2 linked regions of the Diceros bicornis minor genome follow. The protein of the gene in region 2 interacts with the protein of the main gene of each other region in a pairwise test. Links are inferred from orthologs where the notes say so. Each region holds a gene or a part of one and is shown on either strand. Other genes may lie near its edges.

What was found.
Region 1: the proteins of PLD1 (region 2) and PEA15 interact in a two-hybrid assay, tested with the Homo sapiens proteins (2 studies listed by BioGRID). The link is inferred for Diceros bicornis minor from reciprocal best matches to the Homo sapiens genes PLD1 and PEA15.

What each region holds. Positions count from the first base shown.
Region 1 is NC_080743.1:64,879,900-64,887,692, forward strand, and holds the start of PEA15 (astrocytic phosphoprotein PEA-15), read left to right. Parts: upstream 1-4,620; 5' UTR 4,621-4,732; intron 4,733-7,793. Other genes in the region: CASQ1 (calsequestrin-1), read left to right, coding at 965-1,111. UniProt on the Homo sapiens protein: Blocks Ras-mediated inhibition of integrin activation and modulates the ERK MAP kinase cascade. Inhibits RPS6KA3 activities by retaining it in the cytoplasm. Inhibits both TNFRSF6- and TNFRSF1A-mediated CASP8 activity and apoptosis.
Region 2 is NC_080754.1:50,325,771-50,333,509, reverse strand, and holds the start of PLD1 (phospholipase D1), read right to left. Parts: upstream 3,447-7,739; 5' UTR 3,310-3,446; intron 1-3,309. UniProt on the Homo sapiens protein: Function as phospholipase selective for phosphatidylcholine. Implicated as a critical step in numerous cellular pathways, including signal transduction, membrane trafficking, and the regulation of mitosis.

The sequences.
Region 1 (7,793 bases), on a different chromosome or scaffold from region 2:
TATTAACTACAAGGCCAGATCTGATAAACTCTATAATAAAGATACAAATAAAATGCTAGGAAGGCACAGAAATCACAGCGTTTTCTGCTTGAGAGAATCAGATAAGAGTTTAAAAGGAGTGGCATTTAAAGTGGAGATTGTACAATGTATAGGAGTTCTACAAGTGAAAATTACGAGAAGTGATTTCCAAATTGATGGGAAAGTTAGTGCAAAGCGTCAAAAGTAGGAAAATGAATATCAGGTTCAGGAAAAGGCAAGTAGTTTTTTATGGCTTGAGAGTCTAGAGATCTCTGAGGATGGTGCTGGAAAAGCAGGTTATGAAAAGCCTTGAATGCTGGAGAGTCACTGACTTTATATTCTAGTCCAGGAAGAGCCACCAGTGGTTTTGCATCAAGGGCATGATAGAGAGGTCTGTTTTATTATTATTTTTTAATTTTTTTATTTTTTGTGAGGAGATCAGCCCTGTGCTAACATCTGCCAATCCTCCTCTTTTTATTGCTGAGGAAGACTGGCCCTGGGCTAACATCCATGCCCATCTTCCTCCACTTTATATGGGACGCCGCCACAGCATGGCTTAACAAGCAGTGCATCGGTGTGCGCCGGGATCCGAACTGGCGAACCCCGGGCTGCCGCAGCGGAGCGCGCGCACTTAACCGCTTGCGCCACTGGGCCGGCCCCGAGAGGTCTGTTTTAGGAAGCTCAGCATGTCAAGAGGTTGGAAGAAAGATTGAAGGGAGAAGGTCTATTTGCCAGTCCAACCATTCTTCCTACCAACCATTGTTTCTACTCCCACTGTCACTATTCTAACCTAGACCTTCACCTGGACAGTTTCTCTGGCCATTGACAGATAAAGGGAAGGGACAGAGGATGTAGGGAAGGATGTACAGAGTCCAGTGAGGGGAAGGATGGGTCCAAAGACCTGAGTCAGGCTTAGCTCTGGTCCCCTGTCTGTGCCATGTCCTAGGCGGACAGTGTATGGTTGGAGATGGACGACGAGGAGGACCTGCCTTCTGCTGAGGAGCTGGAGGACTGGCTGGAGGATGTGCTGGCAGGCGAGATCAACACAGAGGATGATGACGAAGACGATGATGATGACGACGATGATGACTAGTTGCTGTGGCAACCATCTCCCAGCCCCGCCTGCTCTCCTCAGGCTCCCTCCTGCCTTCCCTGTGCTTCCCTGAGCTCCTCCAGGGACACCAGGTCATTCTCTGCCACAGGGCCCATTGGGGTTTATATGCTGAGTGCTGAGACTCTGATCCCCCTCACCTGATGAAGAAAGGAGCTACTTTTCCCTAGGTACCAGCCCAGCTATCTCATCTGACTTCTGTTTCCTGTCGCACAATGTCCCTGTATCTAGTATTTGTTTCTTCCATCACTCCCTACACTCTTTCTTGTGATTTTCCTCTTGCCATATCTGTGGGCCCCCATCTCGATTCTGTTCCCTCCACTTGTGCACACTCTCCCCTGACTCTCTCAAATCCTATATCCTTCTGACTGTCCTATCCCTGGCCAGGAGGAAGGGGGGGTACTTTGTCTGGGGCTGCATCTCACCAATCTCTTGTTAATGTATTTGGGTCAAATGAGAGGCCTCAATAAAGGATCTGGGGCAGCATGAGCAAGTGTCTGCTGATGAGGTCTCACCCCTATGCCAGGAAAGAGGCAGCCAGAGACTGGGAGATTTAGGTGTGGGTGACTTGTTAGGGTACTGTGGTGGGGGGGTTGGGGCTCCCTCCAGGCAGTTATCCCAGAGAAGCTTGGATTATTTATCTGCCGCAAGTCAACAAGCCTTTTCTGAACACATGGTGTTTGTCCAGCACCACTATTAGGCTCTGGGAGAACAGAGAGTGCTGGGCCTGTCCCTGCTCTCGAGCTGTTTAGCCTCACTGGGAAGTCAAGACAAACACACTCAACAATTGAAGAAAAATACAAAGCAATATGTAATTAAGTGATTATGTGCTGCTTGATAGCACCCTCCCTGCAGCTCTTATTGAACGTCGAGACTGAGCCCAAATAACACTTCCTCAAGGAGGCCTTCCCAGAGGTGGCCCCTCCTGCAGTTTCCTCCTCTGGGTTCACACTGCACTCTCTATATACACCTCTATTCTGATATTCAGTTTGTTCTATCATAGTTCTTCATTTACACGTCTGTCCTCCCCACTAGACTGTGAGCCCCTTGAAGGCAGGAACCCAGGCTTTTCTCTGTTTCCACAGGGCCTGACATGCAAAAAGTAGTCCCTAATAAATGCTAAAAGAAGGAACAAATGAACAGAATGGGCTCAGAGGAGAGAGATCAGAGTGGGCTTTGATGGCTTCAAAAAGGAAGTGAGCATTTTCTAGGCCTTAAATGAAGAGTGGGATTTGACTGGGGGCAAAGGAGTTGGGGAGGGGACATTTCAGTCGGTGGAGACATCAAAAGCCCTGGCAGAATGTGTGTGTCATATTGGGGCCCAGAAGAAACCAGAGAGACAAGAAGAGGAGTTCAAGTGATGGTCATGAGGTTGGGTGGGCATAATGGGGCTCAGCTGTAGAGGTGTTTGCATTTAATCCTGTAAGAAGGGGGGAAAGGGCAAAATTTAATCTGGCAGTGATGAGCAGGATGGTTATAGGGAGGGGAGCTGATGGAGATATCAGAGGCAGGGAGCCCAACTCATATAATCAGAGACTGTTATAATAATCGGGGTGAAGTTGGGAGAATATGGAAGTGAGTGGTGGTCACAGGAATGGAGAGGAAATGTTGAGTTTTGTACAACAGGGGTCCCCCTGGACCTCCTGTAGTTCCTGGCAGGAAGGATCCACATGCTCTCCAGCACAGCCCAGGCTGGGGTAAATATAAAGGAGTCAGGGTGGTGGAACCAAGCAACTGAATAAGCCCATAACTAATAGACGTTACGGTTTTCATGGATCAGGTATAAAAGGGTTGCTGCGAGACTTAAAGGATTTATAAGCATGGAAGAATGAGACCTGAGGTTACAGAAGTTTTCACTCACCCTCTACAGACAAATCCAGGGAGTGTTCCTAGAGAAGGTGGCAGGACTGTAGAGTAGAAACCATGTATTCATCCAACTTGTACCCATGTAATAAATGTTTAATATACATTATGGGCACTGGGCCAATACAATAGTATTATGGAGCTTACTCTCTAGCATAGGTCAGTGAAAGGCCTCGGACTAATATCTCATGTGTTTTAAGTACCCATCTATGCCAGGCCCTAGGAGACTGACGATTTCTAGATCTCAGAAGAACTCTGTCAGATAGGAATCAGCATCACCATCTTACCAGAGAGGACACTCAGGCTCAGGGGCATAACGTGCCCCAGAAAGGAGCAGAGCTAGCATGAGCCCAAGTCCCCTGTACCTGGTTGCCTCTGGGAGACCTGAACCTTTCACTGACTGTAGATAAGTCATTTAGCTTCTCCAAGTCTCAAAGATGGGTCAACAAAATCATTTTTGGCGCTGCAACACAGAACAAATGTGATACACACAAAGGTAAATTATGAGAGTGCCTTACTATCAAAGGGGTAGTGACAGGGTGCACTGGGGGAGGAGATGGTGAAGAGCAAAGAAAAGGGCTGTGGAACCCCAAAGCAGCAGGAGCTGAGCCTGAGCCTCTTCGAGGAGCAGTGTAGACCCAAGAAATGAGAGGCTCACCTGAGGCTTCCTGAGGGGTCTCTGCCAGGTGGGAACTGGCATGAGGCCAGGGGGTTCCCAGAGGTGGTACAGACACTGATGGGACTCAGACCTCTTCCCAGGCCAGACTCTGCCAGAGTTGAGGTGGGACCCCTTAGGCTGGAGGTGGGGGTGAAAACAGATGCTTCCCTGCTTCTTCCTTCCCTCTTTCAGTCTGGCTGAGAATCTGAGGGAGGAAAGTCCCTGGGGTGGAGGGGAAGTGAGAGCTGCCATGCTGGGCCTGAGCAGGGGCAGAGCTAGGAGACAGAGCTAAGTGGCTTTGCAAGTTGTCTATATTTGCATGCTGAGCTCACTGCTGCTCTTCTTCTCCCCAGAAAATAAAATTACATCATGGTAGGGGGAAGGCTGGAGGGTGGTATATTTGGGAAAGGTGAGAGGAACACAAGGGGGCCGCTGGAATCATCCTGGAGAGAAAAAGATCCATGGCTCCAGGTCAAGGGAAGGAGGTCCCATGTTGCGTCTGAGCCCCAACCCCTACTGCCAACCCCACCACCCAGTGAGGGTAAGTCTGAGCTCCCCTGACTCATAAGGGGAGGGAAAGAGGTTTTCCAAATACCAAGTCTAAGAGGACCCAGAGGTCAAAGGCCTTCCAAACCCCTAAACCCTAACTCACTCTGTGCCTCCCAGGGTCCTAGCCACTGTGGCCACCGAAAGGTCATAAGGGGAGGGGACTGTCCCATCGGGAAAGAATTAAATCTGAGATTTGGGTTTTGCGGTTTACGGAAGAGGCAGCGTACCTACTCTAGCCCTCCCCCATTTCTGTCCCCCATGCCAGGAGCCTTCCAGAACCCCAGCCCCCGGCTGCCTCCCCTCCCCCTCCCGCCGCTCCCCGCCCCCCGCCCCTCCCCGGCTCTGACATCACGGGCCGGCCGGGTGGGGTGAGGCGGCGCTGGGCTCGGGCTCGGGCTCCGCGGGCGGAAGAGGCGGCGGCGGCGGCGGCGGCAGAAGCGGCGGCGGCGGGAGCTGAGGAGGAGGCTCCGGACGCTCCTCAGGAACCGGGGACACCCGAGTGCCCGCGCCCTGAGCGCTCAGCCCCGGAGGCGGTGAGAGGGCGGAGAGGAGATGTGTCGCGGGGAGGGGGCAGATTTGGGGTCTGGACTCGGAGGGGCGTCGATCCGGGACGCCCCGGGCCAGATGGGGAGCGGGGGCCCCGGACGGGTCCGCTCTGTGTCAGGCCGCACGGGCTCCGTCTCTGTCGGTGCGTTCTGAGCGCCGAGAGGGTGCTGCAGGCGGCGTGGCTTTGGCCGCCCATTCCATGCTGAACGGCAGTTTGGGAGTCGGACCGGGGCCTGGGGATTAGGATGGAGCCTGCTTCCCGCCCAGCCGGCTCGGCCGAGCCAGCTCCCGCCCCTCCCTCCCCTTCTCTGGCTCCGGCCTCGCCTGGGCTGGCGGTCTCCCGGCCCAGCCCTGCCTCAGTTACCCGGGCTGCCGCCCCTGCTCCGAGGGCTCAACCCGGCTGCTGGCACCATGTGCCCTCACGCTAGCCTCTGCACCTGGGGAAGAGGTGGAATTGGGGAAGGCTTGTCCGGAGGTAAGGAGGAAGGAGCTGGGGGTGTAGAGGAGTGAAGTAGCTAACTGTAAAACCCCTAATTAATTTCATATAATCCATGTCAAAACTGACAGAGACACACACACCTACAAGAAGACACACACCAGTACACACGGTGACACACACCCATGTGACTCTTAGACACATCGTCTCGCACACAGCAAATCACAAACGTCGCTGCACTACACATCCAACCCCCCACCTCACCCCCTCAGTCTCCCATGTGTAAGTCTTCTTGGAAGAACAGCAATCTAACAGGACAGCTGAGTGGGGGCCACTATCCCCAAGTCCACCCTAATTTTCCGGGCACCTTCTCCCAGCCCTGGGCTTCAGATCGCCTCTCTTTAAAACAGTGGGAAAAGATGCAAGAAAATCTTTGCCTCACTTCAGGACAGGGAGACAGGATCTTGAGTGCGAGTGAGCCTGGTGCTCTGAAACTGGGTGAGTAGGTTGGGTATGGGCTGCTGGTGGCCTCTCTTGCTGGGTCCAGTTAGAGCTAAGGGTGCTGGGAGTGGCTGGTTTCTGGGCATCAGAGTGGCCAAGGGATGGAGGAGGGGGTGGAAGAAAGGGAGAGGGAGAAAAAGAAAGAATGAATATTAGTCAGCCAAGGATGGAGCCCAAGTCAGAGAGAGAGAATGAGGAGAATGTGTGTGAGAGGGAGACAGATGGAGAGAGGGACAGACAGACAGACAGGGACAGGGACAAGGAGGAAGTGAGAGACCGAGATGGTCAGAAGAGTGGGAAGAGTGCTGGGAATGGACCACAGAGGCTCAGCAATCAGGGAGGATGAAAGCAGGGTGGTGGTGTGACCACAGGGAGTCAGGGGAAACATGCTGAATATGTAGAGAGTATGTGTCTGGCCCCCAGGCTGTCAGAGCGATTAGCTTTAATTGCTCTTCCCTTTGTGGTTAAACACTCCATTGGGGAAATTGCCAGAGATGCCCTAGGCTGTCGGCTGCCCTGGTTGCCTACTTCCTCACTTCCCTGACACCTGTGCCCATCACATGTACATGTATTGTCATGCATGAAGGAGAGGGCCACAGAGTCACACCCTGCCATGCCATCCCCTCACTCTCTCCTGCAGATCGTCACACACAATGCAATGGTGGATCACCAACCTGTATGCAGCCAACCAATCCAGGCCCCTCCCCACCAAACTTACTCTACCTCTTTACAGCATGGACGCTCACTGCCTCCTAACAGTATAGCAGCTCTGAGTCTTCAGATGGGGACCACTGAGTCACAGAACCCAGGAGTCCTAAGTATTCATGGCTACCATCAAGTGGGATAGAATGAAAGCTCATTGAAAGGAAAGGAGGAAAAGAGAGACTGGGAGACCAGGGAGAAAGGCAATGGATGAGGAAGACAGAGAGATGGGAGAGAAACAGAAATAGAAGTAGGCAGAGACAACCAGAGGAGTGGAGAGTGGCACAGGCCCATCCCCCTCCTCGCCATCAGGCAGCCCTTCTCTGCCCTGCCTGATCCAATGCCAGGTGTCTCCTTATGCCCCCATCTTGGGTTTGGTCTTTCTTGTCTTAGACTAAGGGCTAAAGGCTTAGCCCTGTCCCTCTGCCCATAGGCAACCCATTTTGCTTCTTGGACTGAACCGAACATTTTGAGGCCCAGGTATCCTGCTTCCCCTCATTCCCAGACTGACTCTGGAGCCTTAGAGCCCTCTTCTTCCTTCATTACAGGAATAAACACACTCCCCACTCCCCAAAGCTGAATAGAAGCTAAGGGAAGAAGTCAATTGAGTATGACATTAAAGGAATAATTAGGGATGAACTACAGGACTGCTTGAATTTGGGAAAAGATAAAATTTAAAATAGGAATCTTGCACTCTTCCCCTCCCACCCCTCTGCTTCTCCTTGATTACCACCCCCTTACCCTCAACTCCAAGCAACAAGACAGACAGACTTGAGTGTCTACAAGCACCCTCTTGCCCATTGCAGGGATCTCCAGGTCCTTCCAGCTGTGTGAGATGGCCCCTCCCCTCAGCATTAGGCAGCTGCCACAGATGTGAGGGAAGGAGGGGCAGCAGCTCCTAATATTCAGGCTTTCTTCTTAAGTTTACTGAGGATTTGGAACCAAATGCTAGGGAGAGGGGATAATCATGAATTAACGTCATAATGCACAGAAATTCTTTTGGTGCTACCACCTCTTCCACAGGTGGTTATCCCATTTTGCTAGGCTTCTCAAAGTACCCCCAGGGCCGGTCTCTTCATCCTCCAGTGCCCAGAGAGCACCCACCTGTCATGCTCCCAACTCCTACCCTAGAAGGTCAGTATATAACGATCCTTACCTCCTGCCCCTCTTCCCCAGCATCCTCACTTGGTTTGACCTTTGTCAGGGTTCTGCCTGGGGCCAGCTTGGAAGGAGAGGGAGGAAGGAAGGAAGGTGTGAGGAAGCTGTGAGCAGAGCACAGAATGATCTGGGAGGGAAGGGGACTGACTTCCTGGCAGCCTCGGCTCCGGTTCCCGGTTCCTGCCCTGGTATCCTGTCCCAAGAATGGCCACCGCCCAGGCTGCCTGGTGTTTCTGGGCAGCCTCTGTACT
Region 2 (7,739 bases):
ATACAGCAACTAGAAGGATGTGCAGCTACGACATACAACTACCCACTGGGGCTTTGGGGGGAAAAAATAAAATAAATAAAAAAATCTTTAAAAAAAAAAAAGCACAGCACAAGCTCACCCCCCACCCAATAGAAAAAGAACACAAAGGTTGACAGTGTTGACAGTCGGTTGGTTGACAGTGGGTCAACAGAAGCATCTTTGAGTATGAAGAGCAGCACAGACATCAGTATTTACATGGTTGCTTCTCATTCATAACAAATATTGGATTATATTGCCCAAGAACGTCAACTTCTCATATCAATTTCCCACCACAGCACCTCTCTGAGGCACAATAGTGATCCTGCTGCTTACTGGCTGCTACAACTTGGGACAAATTACCTAACCTTCCTGGGACAGTTTCCTCAACTGCAAAATGGGGATAATAAAGACAATTGACCTTTTAGGCTTGTTGTGAGGATAAAATAAGAGGCTTAGTACAGGGACTGCCCTTAGGAAACGTTTTCTGAGTATTGGGTATTATTATTACTCTTTCTACCACCTCTACTACTCCTGCCATGACTACTGTTACCATCACCCCCAGAAATGCCAGAAAGTCAAACTTAAATTGGGTTCTTCAGAAGGAAAGATGGGACTGGGGAGGTCCTTGGTCAGATCAGCTCAGCCTTTGCAATCCCTTTGGGAAGTTAGTATTTACTGTTATTACTGAAATAGTAAACTCCTGGGATGGGTGACATCATAGTCTACCCTGCTTTCTGTCCCCACCTTTTGATATGTAATCACAAGACCCATGCACGTTGGCACCTTCAGTGAGCAGGGTTAATGGCAGGAAGAAGCGGGGGCGGGGCGGGGGGTAGGCCTGAAAAAGACAGGGGTGGCACTGTTCACTGTAGCCATTACATGAATCTACAAAGGCCAGAAACTGCAGATCAAGAGCTGACACCTCCCGAAACAGGCACCGTGAAGATCAAGACTATGAACGGGAACGAATGCTCTGGGGTGTGAATGGAACTGGTGGATAGGTGAAAAATTTTCAAGGTTCAGCAGTCAGAAAACCCACTTTTAATATCACAATTACTCCTAGTTATTCATTTCTTCCCTCAGAGTCCTTATCTTCTACTGCCATTTAATTTTCCCAATGTTTCCGGTGTGGGCCAATTCACGTTGAAATAGTTTGCCTAAGAATCTGTTTTCAACTTCAAAACTCAGATTCACTTTAAAGGAAAATAAGAATCACATGCTCCTAGATCATCAGCTAGGTTCATAAGCCATGTAAGATTTAAGAGACATCTAGATACTTGCAATATCAACAAGAAAGCATGTTGGATAAAAATTAATCAGCTCAAAGCTTAAAATTAGATGGTACGGAACGAGAAAAATGCCTGTCTCTACATGGTTTTAGCCAAAAGGCAGAGATGTAACAAAACTAGACCAGTCCAGCAAGATGAGAATCAGAATTGCAGTGCTACATGTTCCAAACCTAGAATCAGAAATAAGATTTATCCCAAAATGACAGATTTTGAACACTACTATACAGTCTTTTTTTTTCTCCCCAGTTTTGGTAGAAACTTATTTTAATGAATATTCTTTGGGAAAACCCTAAAATCTGGTTTTTAGGGAGTTTCCCCTCTTATTCTATCCTTGGCCACATTGTTTATTTCAGTTTCTAATCAATGCTATTTTGTTTTATTATCATCTCTTGAAGAAGAGGCTGTGAAGCACTTGGGAACACCGAAACTAAGATCTACCAGACATAAATGAGCTTTATGTGGGCTTTTTAAGACTTTTATCCATGCCAATTAAACACAAACAAGTAATCAATGAGTAAAATGTCTTAACATTGTTCTTTAAAATCATTGGGCAGCTACAATCAGATTGACAAGTCTTCCTTTAAAATTTAAATTAACAGCATTTAATAATTGATAATAGCACATATATGCAGTAATAGCGTAAATAAGCAAGTCATAGCCACCTTTGATTTTTCCTGGTAAGCTCAAATGGCCTAGTGGATCTGCTGTTAAAGGCGGGGGCGGTAATACAGCTGTACAATTGCGTCTGGGGGTACGCAGGGGTCAAGTTGGTAAGCCTGACTGGCAGGCAGCCATAACTGCACAACTCCAGCCTCAGCCCTAGAGATGGAAACTGGGATCCTTAAAGTTTAGCAAATCGCCTCAAAGATTGTTTTTTAAGTACCTATTTCTGTCTCCCTTTCCCTTCAATTTTATTTTTTTAAACAGAGGAGAACATGAGAGAACAGACCCTTTCTGAAACACTGTATTTCCAAGCGGGAAAAAGAAGAGAATAAAATGGCAACGACATAAGCATATTAGCATATTTTAAAACACTAGTACATTCCCTTGAAGTGAAGCGTCCTTAAAGTAACATAAAAGCAAGAATATTTCATAAAGTGCTGCAAACATTAAAACATCATCAAATTGAACTACTGTTCTTATGGAACTACTTCGTGCCGAATTGCTTTGGTGACAAATTAACAAAAGTAAAATTGCTCTCTAGATCTTTAAGTTGATGAAATTAAGGAAGATATTCTCTTGGTACTTAATTTTATTGACAATTTCATCTTATTACTATTAGCAATACTTTTATCTTTTATAAGCCACACTCCATTTTTACAGTCATATTTACTCCTAGAGTGATCTCAGATTTTGAGGAATCACTTGAGAATAAAAACAGTGACAACTAAGGAAGGGATTCAGTCCAGCTTGATCCACCTGTACATTCTGCCCACATAAACTGCTATGCAGGTATTTTATGAGGCATTCTAGAAAAATGCCAGACTTTTCGAAGAGAAAATGAAAATGATATTCTGGTTCATTGTAACTATAAGGAGTAGGCCCAAGGTAAAACCATGCATGAGACGAGCATGCATGAGTGTGTGAGCGACAACACCGCTAGCGGGGGCAACACACGGCTGCCTAATGTCCAAAAAACCCAAAATCACCTGTGTATAAAATCAGACTTATGCCTAGAAGATTTAATGGGTGGACACAAAGAAAGTAATTCTAAAAAAGGAACTGAAAATGCTTACAAGCAAGTCCAAACCTGTAACTGCAAATCCAACACATATATGTTATTTCTTCTTGGCTTCCACTTGCGTTTAATATTGTCAAACAATGCATATATTATAAGAAGAATCATAACCCCCAAACCTCGGCAGGATCAACGAACTAGCATTATTTTCTAAAAGAACGCAGCAACAGCACAAATGCAATGCTAACTGTCACATCATTGCCCCTGAGCACAGAGAGAAAATGTGACACATGCAGCAGCAAGTTCAAAATGTTATTTACTAACCTGGCACCCCTGTGAAAGCAGTCGCTCCATTTTGCTTTAAAGAAAGAATTCTCACAATGAAACTAGTCTCCAAAGCAGCTGATAGCCGAGAGGGAGAGGGGAAAAATCTGACCACCCTGAGAATCCACAGACACAGGGAAAGCAGTCTGTTCCCAACCCCGTTTTTGGCCGACTCCCTAAAGGCAATTTAAGTCACAGCCAAGCCCACAAAGCACTTTAGCCTATAAGCTGTGGTAATGAACTTGAAACCACTCCCCGTATGTTAAATAGACACTAGGCTGCTGTGAGAAATAAAACTCATGTACAGAATGAGCTAACGCTTCAGGCTTCACTTTTGTACTGCTGCCCAAGAAAACTATAACACAAACTTAAACAAACAGAACTCGTACTCCCCTTTCTCCCCTAGAAGAACTCTCACTCCCTTCTCTCCCCCAGACACTGTATTAAAGTGAATCATTCATTTTAAGAGGCATACAGTCTGCCCTCCATTGGGCCATAAAATGAGTTTTATATTGTTGTTGGAGTTGGGTGCCAGTGGTGGACATGTAGCACTGTGATTTCACATTGCGTAAGAGGGACACGTGAAGTTATTGTTTCTGAGAAGCAAAGTCCCATACTATCACTATTTTCCGATTTTTTGGCAGGGGCATAGCATTAAATAAGCCTCTCACTCACCACTAAAGTCTAAAAATTAATGAAGTTCACGGGGAAAATTTATCAAAGCACCTTCTAACTTCTGATTCTGACTTGGTGTCTGTAAATCTGAAAATCACTCATAATTCAGTTTCACCATCTACGTTTAGGTTATATTTATAAGATAAATATTTTTTGTAGTTTTTTTATAGTTTAAAATGGAACTTAATATCATTCACTATGGTTTCAAAGTTAGAACTTTAAATTTATTTTTCATTCTAAAAAAATGTATTTGATAATTTCCTTAAGGCATTTTTATCTGAAAACAGTCAATAATGTTGCAGCATATTGCTTAAGAAAGAATAAGAATCCATGCTCTGCTACTCAACATAATGTGTTCACAGTATACACAACTTTCCCCTAGTTTTCAACTCCAAGAACAGTTTTAATTCTAATGGTTTGCCTCCATGATTTCTATTTTATTTAAATAAGACCTAATTAACATAATGGTCAAGGTTACCTCACTTTATTGTTTCTTCTAAACCATAAGATCAGACCAAATAGTCCAAGGAAAACTTGATTTACTTGTTGCAGAATAGATTTACGTGTATTTCTTGTAAAATTCAAGTTACTCAAAACCGATGAAAAATAAGCCATTAGCATATTAGCTCAACAAGATCAGGCATGAAAAACCTGGAGACTCCCTCAGGTCTACCACTCGCCCCGCCTGCCTCCCCCACCCACTCTCAGGTCAGGGCTCCACAGTTTCTCACGGGGTCACTTTAGAATGAGGGAGGCAAGCCAGTCACCTACCTCAGTGAGAAAACTAGCCTCAAGGCATGCGGCCCGTGCCTTACAAAGGAGTCAGTGCGCCACCTGGTGGCAAAACCAAGAAAAGGCTGGAAACCTCAGGGGAAGTATTATGATGTACTTGGATGCTGGAAGAAAAACAAAAAGGAAGAGAAGGATCAGTTATAAGGGCACATTAATGTCACATACAATTTGTGGTAAGGATCCTGAAAAGTTTTTTTCCCACAAGAGCAAAATATTTCTAGAGGATATGAAAATACTTATGCAAAAATAAAGTAATTACATTCGAAACCATCTCTTTGATGTAGATCTGGTTTGCAAACTTATATGATGATTTGCATTCTCAGAGAAATCCTCTGATAAATAATATTGATCTCTCCTTTACCCAAAGAGCTGCAAGGAAAATTCCTGTGAGGTCAATGTCATCTTTGAAATGGAAGAAATACGGATAAATCCCCAATTCAACTATATAACTACCGGTGGGACGATGTCTCCATCATTCTGTTAAAAGGCTGTATCCCCAGGATTTTTCCTACCTTTCTGTTAAAAAGTATTTCCTTTTGTCTCATATAAATTATTTCTGCTAAAATCAACATCCCATATCAACCTCAATGGAGCTGAAGTTAAATATTGGGTTTCAAATTACACTACAGTCTAATAAAACTCCAGCAAAAATAAAAGTATAGTAGGATGTGACTTTTAAATGAGCCCAAGCCACACTACTGAAGCTAAAACTAAGAATACTAGCTAATATTTAAGCTCTCACTATAAGCTAGGCATGGTTCTGAAGTGCTTTACAAGCATCAACTCATTTAAATCTCACACCTCTATTATTACACTAGTTTTACAGATGAGCGAACTGAGGCACCTAAGGGGTATGTATGTTGCCAAGATCAAACAGCTCTGGTGGAGCTGGGATTAGAACCCAAGCCATTTGGCTCTGAAGTCAATGCTTCTGACCATGTACTTTAATAATTCTGTCCTCCAAGTGCACGCCACTTGTGAAACCCTGCCAGACTCTGGTCAAATGAAAGGGATGGGGAGATAGTTGCACAAGAACTGCTCTGTGAGCAGTCCCCATGGTGACACAGGCTGGGAAAGGCTTTTCAGCAAAGCAGCCACAGAACTGAGACCTGAAGGCGACATGGCAGGTAAGGGATCCCCAGGCAGAGGGCCCTCACTGGGCCTGCCAAGGCAAAGGGGGAAATGGAGAGAAGGCCATTGGAGGGACCAAGGAAGCTTGGTGAGGCTAGGGGACCAGCAGAAGAAAACACTGCGAGGGAGGCAGGAGTCTTCTGATGTCACGTCATGGAGTCAAAGAGGCGCCACCAAAATTTTAAACCAGAAAGCAACTAGCTGTGCATGTTGGAAAGATAAATAAGGGGGAACCAAGCCTTGTAGGGTGAGTAGAAATTTAGAAGACATTCCAGGTGAAGGGAAGGGCAGACCAGTGCTTTAAAACGTACAACTTTACACTGTCACGAACATCATCAAGGAGGCTGAGGTGGTAATCCTGGCAGCAGCGGTGCTCACTAGTTCCCTTGCTCAAGCTAGGTTTGGGGCCAGAGCCATGCAGAGGCTGTTAGTGCCATCCTCAGAGCTGGGAACACAGGAGGAAGAGCAGGCTGGAGGAGGGGAGGTGGGATGGCCAGGCCAAGGAGGTGGCTTTTGGAGGCTGAGTGTGAGGTCCTGTGGGCCATCAAGGGTGGATGTGCAGCGGGCTGCAGGAGACACAGATCTGGCGCTCCAGTGCCCTGTTAGGACAGGAGGTACATATCTAGGAGTCATTGCACGCACAGGCAAATTGCAGCTGGAGGGCAGCAGCAGGTGCAGTGAGTTTGCCCCTGAAGAGCACACAGCATAAGAGGAAAGAGTGCAGTCCAAGGCAAGGGGTTTCTGAGCATCTCAGACAGAATTCAGGACATGGGTGAGGAAAAGTTTCATTTTAATTTTTACTAACCTCTAACAAAAATTTACCATTTCCTTCAATCGCAAATGTAGGCAACAATCCACAGTAGAATTAGCCATACCTATGACTTGTCACAAGTAGAAATCAAAGATATCTTCATATCACATAACAGTTGCAAATATCTCAAAGTATGATGTCCACTCACTGCTACTTCAGAATTACAGTAGTTATTAGACCTGCCACTAGCTCTTGGTATGTAATGCATTAATAAAGGACATGTATTACAATATTACATTTTTGGCGGTATATTGATAACTATATCAGTATAATTGGTTTCCTTTGTAATCCTAAGCATTCTAATTTTATGCATTTAAATTTATGCATTTAGCTTTATGCATTAAACATTACTCTGAAAAGGGATTCATTAGCTTCACTAGGATGCCAAAGAGGTCTCGTGGCACACATACACAAAAGTAAGGAACATCTGATTTAAGGGGAAAAGAAAAAACCACAGGAAGATACTTAGAAAAAGCATTCAGAAAAGGGAGGACCTCGTATGAGATGATCCAGGATTCAAATGCAGGACTTCTGACTTATGTTCTTTCCTCCACCAACTCCACACCCTAAAATAATAAAAGTAGTAACCCCTTCATTTGTGTCAACAAAGCGCTTTCACATGTATCTGCTCGTTAGCTCATCACACAGACCCAGAGGAGGAAAAGGGAGGCAACCCCAACCTGCCTGAAACCTCAGAGAAGCCGCAGCCCAAGAAGACACGGCTCCCCGGGCCAGTCCCAGGGGTGGAATGTGGCATCTGCCACCGGACTCTACGGAGCCGTAGTCATGAGCATAGACGAGTGCAATGAAGAGCCCATCCCTGTTATCATATTCGCTAGAACCTGATCCGGGAGGAAGGCATAGGGAGTGCAGAGCCTAACGAGTGGGTCCTGCTGTTCTTCAGGCTTCCATCTGCAGGGAGCGCTAACGATTTGCTTGGATTCTTTGCTCAAAGCTGTCCTATTTAGTTCTGATTGGTGATCCAGGGTGAATGACAAGATTTACAATATTTCAACTGTTT